Linked DNA regions of Daphnia pulex. The protein of the gene in region 2 interacts with the protein of the main gene of each other region in a biochemical or structural test. Links are inferred from orthologs where the notes say so. Each region holds a gene or a part of one and is shown on either strand. Other genes may lie near its edges.

What was found.
Region 1: the proteins of polycomb protein eed-like (region 2) and nuclear inhibitor of protein phosphatase 1-like form a complex in vitro, tested with the Homo sapiens proteins (2 studies listed by BioGRID). The link is inferred for Daphnia pulex from reciprocal best matches to the Homo sapiens genes EED and PPP1R8.

What each region holds. Positions count from the first base shown.
Region 1 is NC_060026.1:2,726,825-2,731,036, reverse strand, and holds nuclear inhibitor of protein phosphatase 1-like, read right to left. Parts: upstream 2,323-4,212; 5' UTR 2,276-2,322; coding exon 2,247-2,275; intron 2,182-2,246; coding exon 2,121-2,181; intron 2,036-2,120; coding exon 1,946-2,035; intron 1,875-1,945; coding exon 1,811-1,874; intron 1,746-1,810; coding exon 1,522-1,745; intron 1,462-1,521; coding exon 1,249-1,461; intron 1,175-1,248; coding exon 770-1,174; 3' UTR 765-769; downstream 1-764. Other genes in the region: carcinine transporter-like, read right to left, coding at 39-278. UniProt on the Homo sapiens protein: Inhibitor subunit of the major nuclear protein phosphatase-1 (PP-1). It has RNA-binding activity but does not cleave RNA and may target PP-1 to RNA-associated substrates. May also be involved in pre-mRNA splicing.
Region 2 is NC_060028.1:331,805-336,821, reverse strand, and holds polycomb protein eed-like, read left to right. Parts: upstream 1-1,995; 5' UTR 1,996-2,185; coding exon 2,186-2,254; intron 2,255-2,337; coding exon 2,338-2,480; intron 2,481-2,540; coding exon 2,541-2,712; intron 2,713-2,776; coding exon 2,777-2,912; intron 2,913-2,997; coding exon 2,998-3,401; intron 3,402-3,484; coding exon 3,485-3,640; intron 3,641-3,758; coding exon 3,759-3,959; 3' UTR 3,960-4,226; coding exon of another isoform or gene 4,227-4,242; 3' UTR 4,243-4,244; downstream 4,245-5,017. Other genes in the region: headcase protein homolog, read left to right, coding at 246-440; eukaryotic translation initiation factor 1A, Y-chromosomal-like, read left to right, coding at 4,227-4,242, 4,356-4,543, 4,611-4,850. UniProt on the Homo sapiens protein: Polycomb group (PcG) protein. Component of the PRC2/EED-EZH2 complex, which methylates 'Lys-9' and 'Lys-27' of histone H3, leading to transcriptional repression of the affected target gene.

The sequences.
Region 1 (4,212 bases), on a different chromosome or scaffold from region 2:
TTAAACACTTCGTAAATTCACTCAATTAACGTAATTACCGTGTAAGGAATGTTGGTCATCTTCCATTCGCTGGAATTCCAGTTTTGGGAATCCACATCCGGCGGACTTTTGCACCAGTGGTCGGGAACGTTGGCCATAAAGAGCTGATTAAAAGCGTGAAATCCGCAAGGAATGCATGCCGGAAGGCAAACCAGCCACACAAGCAACTTCTGGTACCGTCCAAATTCGCCTACAAAGGGCAGTAGGTCATCGAAATCCCAACTTTTCTTCTCGTCCATTTTCGGACACGTCAGTGGCTCAAATTCCGGCGCGTGTAAACTATTCAATCCGCTGGATGTGATTTTTTTTTTTTTCAGAAGAGACTCACCTCTTTGTGGATTTCACACGATCGGATTCTGTACGGCAGCAATTGGGAGAAATAGTTCAGACACCAAAGTTCACTAATAACCAGACCCGCAAATCAACGTCAGTCGCCGATGGACCCATGCTGATTACAGAGGCAATCCAGGGCGTGGGTAGGCTCCGACTTCCCCTTATATCCGGTCAGCAGCAGCAGCAGCAGTGGAATCCCTAAAAGTACATTAGTCTCGTGCGTCAAAATTTTTAACAGGCTAAAGGACCACCACCTTCGATGACTCTCTCCAAGGAATCCCTACAACGTCGCCGATCATTTCAAATCTCGTTGTTGTTTTTTGTTAATTTCTTTTATTTAAAAAAAAAGGAGGAAAATACGTGATGACATGACAAGTTGTAGAGGTGTGAATTGTCGTTACATAAGAAGTGAGGGTGCTGGCTTTTTACCCGGCCAAGCTTCTTTGGCGTATTTCTTTCTCTTGGGCCCGTTGGAGGAAGGATCAGACTCTACCGCAGGAGGTTGTGTAAACTCGACATTGAGCCGGGAAGTGACCGGTGCGGCAGCTGGCTCCATTGGGGCGGACAAATCGACATCAGGGGCAGGGTTAGGCATCAATGGAAGCCCCAACTTTGAAGCTAAAGTCGAAGAGAAGAGCCCAGAAGACGCGGATTGAGATGTTAAATGAGACTGGGATGATTCACCCATCTCAGGGGGTAGGCCTCCGTACAGCCCTTCTCCTCCAGACGAGGCTGACAAAGAACGGTGGAACTGGTTCTCTCTTGACATCGTTCCACTGGCTAAAGTTTCGCTTTTAATCCGCTATAATGTCACGAAAGAAAACTTACAATTAATATCACCACTTAACAGAATTTAGAAGACTATTTAATATTTACTTTAGTAGGAATAACGAGGGAAGTGTGAACAAGATTGCGGAATCTTCCCACATTCGGATCAATATCTTCCGGATTGATAACTTCTTCTTCGTCATTGAAAGTGATCGACCTCTTCTTTCTCTTGCCTGCGGCAATTCTGCTGCCTGCGTCATCGTCGGCAATACCCAACATTGAGATCCGTCGATTATGAGCTGTGTTGAATTCAGTCAGATTCTAGATAAAGCAAACATTTGTGAAATTTTCATAAAAAGTTGAATATAAAAAGGCTCTCACATCCAACTCCATTTCTGATTCTGGAAGCCCAAGTTTCCCTCCATCCTGGTGAACACTTTTGGCTTCTTCTTCTAGTTCTTCCAAGATCGGTCTGGGGGCATTTTGTGGTCGCTCTCTCAAAATGTAATATCTAGTTGAAGCACCAAAATGAAAAGTGCTGTCGACTGGCAGTTGGGTAGGCTTTTCACTTTCAATCCTCATAGTACCAATATAGGTTCCATGGGCTGGATATTTGAAAACAATATTTAGATCAATGAACAATTAATTTTTGACAAAGTTATAAACTTACTGCTTCCCAGATCAACAAGAAATGCACGGTTCAGATGCTTGTGCCACACAAGTGCAGAGTGAACCTTTGAATCATGAAGACAGACGACAAATTAACGAAAGATGCAAAGTGATAATTTTGAAGGATACAACATACCCTGGAGCAGGATGCATGGTCAATACAAAAATCACACATTTGAGGATTCCGGCCAAAGAGGTAGCATTTCTTCTGATCTATCATCAATTTCTGTAAGAAACACGAAGAACAAAAACAAATACAAGCCGGTAAAAAAAACCATCAACAAAGCCGGCAATTAACAAACGCATGTTACCTGGATAAGTTTACCATCTTTGGTCACATCAAGGTGAAGTCCAGTCGTCGGTTTACCAGCCCTGCAGAAAAAGAAATCGGGGTTATTTCAGTACGTTACACATTTCCTATTAAAGCGTTTAAATACCAATTTGGAATCTCATAGTGATTCGCCATTTTTTTGTTTTTTTTCTGACAGCTTTTTTTCTGGCAGCACGCTGCAACATTGCGCGATTTATTAAATAATAACCTACATACGTGTAAAAGAGGCGGCAAAGTCGTAAAGCATTCAAACACACTCGGGTAATATGGTGCTACATTGTTACTAACGAATGGGACATAATGAAACCTTCAGCATTGGCGTCGTATAGACTGAATATAATACTGCGCTGGGTTTAAAACTTTTCTTTGGTCAACGATGATTGTGGAAAGCGCTTAAAAACATTCAAAGAGGTCGGGAGTTTCTCTTTTCCCTATCAAAAAATAGAATTCGTCACCTTACTTGAGTCAATTTCAACATGTGATGTTAATGCATTATAAATACACACTGGAAAAGAACAGGTGAACCACCTTTCCTTTTCTGCGCCGAAATAAATTATACCGTCAAATAAAACTGAGCCAGCAGCAGTACACGAATGATGCCCTATATATTTAGACATCTGTCAAGGAGGAGGAGCAGAGTCTAATTAAACCATTTGGCTGCTCGTTTTATTTAACGACTTGGCGAACTGCGTAATTGGTTTAAATCCAGAACATTTATATTTTTACTCTTACTATAATTTACAATGAACAATAACCTACATTTATAAAAAGAAAAAAAACGAAAAAAAAATTAATTGTACAGTGGAAATGTCCAGATTCTAAAAAGCTCAAAACACCAGATTTAGAATAACTAAATTAACAGTACAAAAGTTTACGAATCTGTGGAAATCTTTGCTTGACACCAAAAAATAGTTCAGCACCTCATTCCCGACTTGGATTTCCATATGCATCACATGTGCGTGGTGTTTTGTGTATACTGTACAACCCTAAAGTCTGAGAACTCACCCAAGTGGAAATTCTCAGCGTTCAGGTGATGTTACTCATGTCAGTATGAACAGTGAGCAGCACTCACAGGTTCAGCTAATGTCACAAGTTGACTGTCAGACAATTTAATGTTCACCTGACATTTCAGTTTTTAGGCTTTTTCTAGGTCACGTTAAAACTTTGATTCCGGACGTAATCTCTTCTTCGTTTAATTGACAAAATTTTTCTTTAGTGTCCATCATTAAACCTCCCACCAGATATGATTTATGTACCGCCCATGTAAATTTGACTAAGGAGTTTGAATGGATTATAAATAGAACCATAAAGATTAGAAAATATTAGTCCAAATGGCTTTTCTCACACATTTCGTAACAAAAACTAAATTCAAGAGAAAGAATTTTTTTTTTGACTGGGAAATCACGTCGTTTGAAATCGTCCAAGAGCTAATAAAGTTGCATAAGTACTGTCCTCGTGTAGACGGACTGTGTTTGGTGGGGTGCTTATTTTTAAATAATTATTGTCCATTCGTCTTGTCAGTCGGTGATTGGGGAAAGTCCGCTGGAATGTCTCTCAGCAATACGAAGAAAAGTTCTGGTATGTAACAGAAGAGTTTCTCTTTCGCCCTGTCCAACTAACAAAAAAAATGTAACACATTGAAGAGGAAGTCACGGACGATTTCCGGGCTGATGCCTGCGACACGATGGCGGGGCCCAGCGCAATAATATCCCGGCACCCATTTCCCTGTGTATATTCGTCTGCTCGTTGAATATATAACAAATAACGTCGCACAAAAGTTTTATCAAGAATTCTGCGTTCATTTTCCTTTTTTTTTATTTTTTGGTGTAGGCTACCAACGGTCTAATAGGCACCTGCTTGTTGGTGGGTTGCCAATGACAGTAGTTGTGCGTACAGTACAACCGCACGGCGAAATAACCGCAAAGAGCGTGATTTGTTCACATTCAAAAAAGGATGGGGGGGGGGGATATAGAAGCTCAAAAAACCGCCTAGGCACACGTGAATATTAGGAGCAATTGGCGAGAGTTGCCAATTTGCTCCCTTTCTCCTTTTCTTTTCAAAAGAAAAAATAA
Region 2 (5,017 bases):
TTTTCATATTTATTTTAAAATCATTTTTAAATTTAATTGCACTTGAAAAATGTATTAAAAGCCACAATTTCTAATTTAATTGTAATTAAATTAATTTTGATTCAGTTTTGTTTCATGTTCAATTTTATTTTTTATTCTTCGATTAATTAAATTGTAATTACTCATTACATTATAATTATTTCGCAAATAATTTGTAATTGTATTAATTTTAATGATTTCCTTTGTTTGATTTTTCGCACCTCCAGTGTAATCAGTGCAACGGATTAGTGGTGCAGCCGGAGCAAAGGTTTCAAAACTTTTCGCAGTACAGTCGCGATTTGTCGTGTCCCCACTGCGCCAGTCACGATCACCATTTTGTCAAGCCACTGCCTAGCGTGTTCCAGCTCTTCCGATCATCCGGTCGGGATCAACACGCAATCGCCACACCTCCGACTATTTAAAACAAACTTAAAAAAAAATTAAAATAATAAAAAAAAAAGAATAGGCCACACATCGAGAGATGAGAGTTAGGATACAATTAGGTTGATAATTTTACACCTAACCCCCCAAATCCAAAAGTGAATTAAAAAAAATGAAAAAAAAAAATTAAATAATGGATAATAATTTAGCTACATATTTTCGATATAACTGCCGGCTTTTTTTGGTATGTGTGGAAACACTCGGTGCGGCATTTGAGAAAGAATAGGCGACCAATCACATATTTGCTAATAACTTTACACAAAAAACTACAAAAAAATGATAGAGCTTCTTCTTCTGACGAACCCCATAATTTTCTTATTATAAATAGCGATCAAGTGTTTGTCCTTGGTGAAGCAAGAGGATGTGTATTTTCAAGTTCGTTTGAATGTCACGAGAGAGAGAAAAGAACTAGTGAGAATTTTTGCTGTGCAGCAGCAGAATGTTGTGTGTTGTGAACAAGGACCATCCGCCGTTTTCTCCGGTAAATAAACTGGAAAGGGCGGGGTCTCTAGTTGAGTTGGCGCTACGGACCAAGTACAAACCTGTTTTTTCGTCTTTTTTTTTTAGTTTTCACGTGAATTCTGACAGCCAAAGCAGCTGAATGAAATTCCTCTCCCTTTTTTTTTCTAGCTAAAATAATAATGATATATTGAATAAAAAAAGTCCTTAGAGAGAAAAATAAGATGGGATTAAAACAAACATTTAGACAACTCAAGTATAAAAAGCTAGATCAACAGGCTTTTTTGAAATATTATTAATTGTCGTCAATGTTTATTAATAACCACAGAAAATAAATTTCTCGTATGTGCTCTGTGTTTTATTATTTTTCTTTGGTGGAACAATAAAATTGAGAATTTCTTAATATTTTCATATGAAAAATTTTGAAAAAATCTGTTTGACATTTTTGACCTTGAAGAAAAATTAAAAAGACGGTCACGATGGACAAAAATTGGGCTTGCACGTTTTTCTATAAATATATAAGAAAAATAAAAAGCGGTTCTTCTTCTTGTTGTTTGTGGTTTCACCTCCCCTCCGGCAAGGTGGTTGCGTGTGCAAAATGCGGAATCCGCTAGGTGGCAGCACAAGATGTCGGAATTTTCTCTTGAAATTAATATAATTCTTTTTTTTTTTACTAAGAAAAAAGAACAGGAGATTCAGTTGTCAAGTGATGCACACTCATTTTTCTTCCAAGACATTGGGAAATCGCTGATGCGAAAATCTTTTCTGTTCCGCTACGTTCGATTTTTCCACGAAGTTTTACTATTTTTAGATTTTCACCCTCCACCGAAAACCCTTTTGGAAAGCGTAAAAAGTATTTCAACACTGGAAATATTTTGCCAGCCATCAATGACAAACTTTTAATAATAAAAATATCAAATATCGTCAAGCGCCAATAACGCACCAGCAAAAGTTTTCTAAAAAACAACGAAATGTTATTTGACCAAATCCTTTGTAACTCGAGTACCCGAGTATTTGTTCCGCTTGAAAGTTTTTTTTATCACGCACGTTCACGTTCGTTCATATTTTTTTAAAAAGAAAAAAGCGAAATTGCAAATAGTTCCGAAATTGGTCAGAAGAGGCTTCCATCGGCGGGAACGGCGTCGTCGGCTTTGTTTATGGATTCTTTTCGAAACTGCCAGAAATAAAACAAGCACATTTTTAGACAATAACCAAAGTTTGGATACTTGAAATCTGTTTTAACTATCTGTATTTGATCAAGTTAAATATGGCGTCAAAACGATCAGTCGAGCAAATGGATATCACTGAAACTGTGGAACTTTCAGGGGATGACATGGTAATCAGCTTGATACTGCTTTCTGTTTATAACTATAGAATTCTTGGGTTTAAAATGTTTTTTCTCGATTGGCACGTGAAAAGGAGGATACTGCTAGCAGTATTGGCAGTTCTTCAACTTTGGATACTGCCTCAAGGAGTGACACTCCAACTTTGAAACCCAAAAAACGGGGAAAGCCCGGCAGAAAGAAGGGCATCAAAATACCAAAAATCAACTACAAATTTGGGTAATTTGATTTTCGTGTTGTTGAATTCCTTTTAAATTGTATTAATGTTAATTTTTTTAGCTCCTTTATCAAAGAAGATCATGGCCAACCACTTTTCGGTGTCCAATTCAATCACTTGCTGAGGGATGGCCAACCTCTGGTTTTTGCAACTGTTGGCAGTCACAGGATATCAGTGTACGAGTGCCCAGATACTGGAGGGATCAAGCTTCTCCAGACGTACGCAGACCCTGATGTAACTATTTAATTATCTCATCCTGTATAACATCATTTTATCAATCACCATTTATCTAATACAGATAGAAGAAAACTTTTACACATGTGCATGGTCCTATGATGAAGAAACTGGCAAACCCATTCTGGCAGCTGCTGGATCCAGGGGAATTGTTCGCATAATTAGCCCAGCTACCATGAATAGCATCAAACATTACGTCGGTAAGCAGATGACGTTTATTGGAATAATGAAACTCTTTGTACTAAAATTGAGATAAAAATTTTATTTTGAAATAAAAATTAATAGGTCATGGACACGCCATCAACGAATTAAAGTTTCACCCGTCCGATCCCAATCTACTTCTGTCCGTTTCCAAGGATCACGCCCTTCGGCTCTGGAACATAAGAACCGATCAATGCATCGCAATTTTTGGCGGTGTCGAGGGCCATCGGGACGAAGTTCTCAGCGCCGATTTCGATCTGGAGGGTCGTCGGGTTATCTCGTGCGGAATGGATCACTCGCTGAAACTGTGGCGACTTGACACGGACGCCATTGAAAAAGCCATTGGCGATTCCTACACGTTTGCACCGAGCAAAAGTTCCAGGCCATTCGCTACCGTTCAAGAAAATTTCCCCAACTTTTCGACGCGTGACATTCACCGCAATTACGTCGACTGTGTCCGCTGGCTGGGCGATTTCGTGCTGTCAAAGGCATAAATTCTCAATTTTATTTCCTCTTTCGTACGTTCTCAAGCAATTAATGTTTTGTTTTATTTTATGTGTTAATCGTCTAGTCGTGTGAGAATACCATAGTTTGTTGGCGACCTGGCCGTTTGGCGAACAATGGCATACGAGTCATGAACAATAACGCCGTAACGGTACTACACCGATTCGACTATCGCGAATGTGACATCTGGTTCATGCGATTCTCACTGGATTCCTGGAACAAGGTGGGTCTTGATTTTTCAAAGAAATTTAAGCCAGATACCATCTGAACTTTGTAGTGCACCATGTGTTTATTTAAATTTATTTCAATTCTGTTAACTTTTATTGGTCGTTTGGAAACAGGTTATGGCGCTGGGCAATCAAGTTGGCAAGACTTTTGTGTGGGATCTCGACACTGACGACCCCATGGCATCTCGCCATTTAGTTTTGACACATCCCAAATGCATCTCGGCTATTCGTCAGACTGCGTTGAGCCGTAATGGCCATGTATTACTTTGCGTCTGTGATGACGCTACCGTCTGGCGTTGGGATCGTATTCTCTAATCATATATACATACATTCTTTTTCTTCTTCTTTTTTTTTCATTTTTAACAACCTGAATGTGTCAAAAATAAAAAAAAAAAGTAAAAATCACCATAAAAAGAAATTAATTCGATTTGATTAAAATGGCAACGTTGTTGACGTCCAGGGGCTAAACAGAAGTTGGTGTTTCTTTCCTTTCAGCACGTCCATTGAGAGTATCTGGCGTGGTGAGACATATGTGTGTGTTGAAATCTCAGCTTTTTATTAGTTTACTCAGAGAAATTCAACATGCCCAAGAATAAAGGTGAGTTTCAACCGTTCGTGCATCTCCCGAACAGTTTGTTTCAAGTGTTTGTCGTTTGTTTTAATTGATTTATAATTCGTACTTTCTCTTCCGATCCGATTCTGTCTTATTAGGTAAAGGAGGTAAAAATCGCAGGAGGGGAAAGAACGAGAACGAAGCTGAGAAAAGAGAATTGATCTTCAAAGAAGATGGCCAAGAATATGCACAAGTTACGAAAATGTTGGGTAATGGTCGACTTGAAGCTTTGTGCTTCGATGGAACCAAGAGGCTTTGCCACATCAGAGGGAAGCTCAGAAAGAAGGTCAGTCCCGATTGTTGTTGTGGCACTCTGAGTTGTCAATCATCTTTTTTTATTTTATTTTCGACAGGTCTGGATCAATCAGGGTGACATCATCCTGGTTGGCCTGAGAGATTACCAAGATGCCAAGGCTGACGTTATCCTCAAGTACAACGCTGATGAAGCCCGTAACTTGAAGACATATGGTGAAATCCCAGAAACAGTCAAGGTCACAGATACTGTCAACTTCGTCGACGACGGCCTGGATGATGACATCGAGTTCGGCGACGATTCTGGTTCTGGCGAAGACGACGACATTAACGACATATGAACACTTCACTTAGGATTTTCAATTCTTGTTCATAATAATAACAAAAGCTCTATCCGGGAAATTCTTGGATTTTCCATAGCAACATTTCATCGTTCATGAAGAAACCTCTAATTTAGGTTTTTACATCCTAAAGCAGCAGCAGCAACAGCCTCAACATTTTTTTTTTG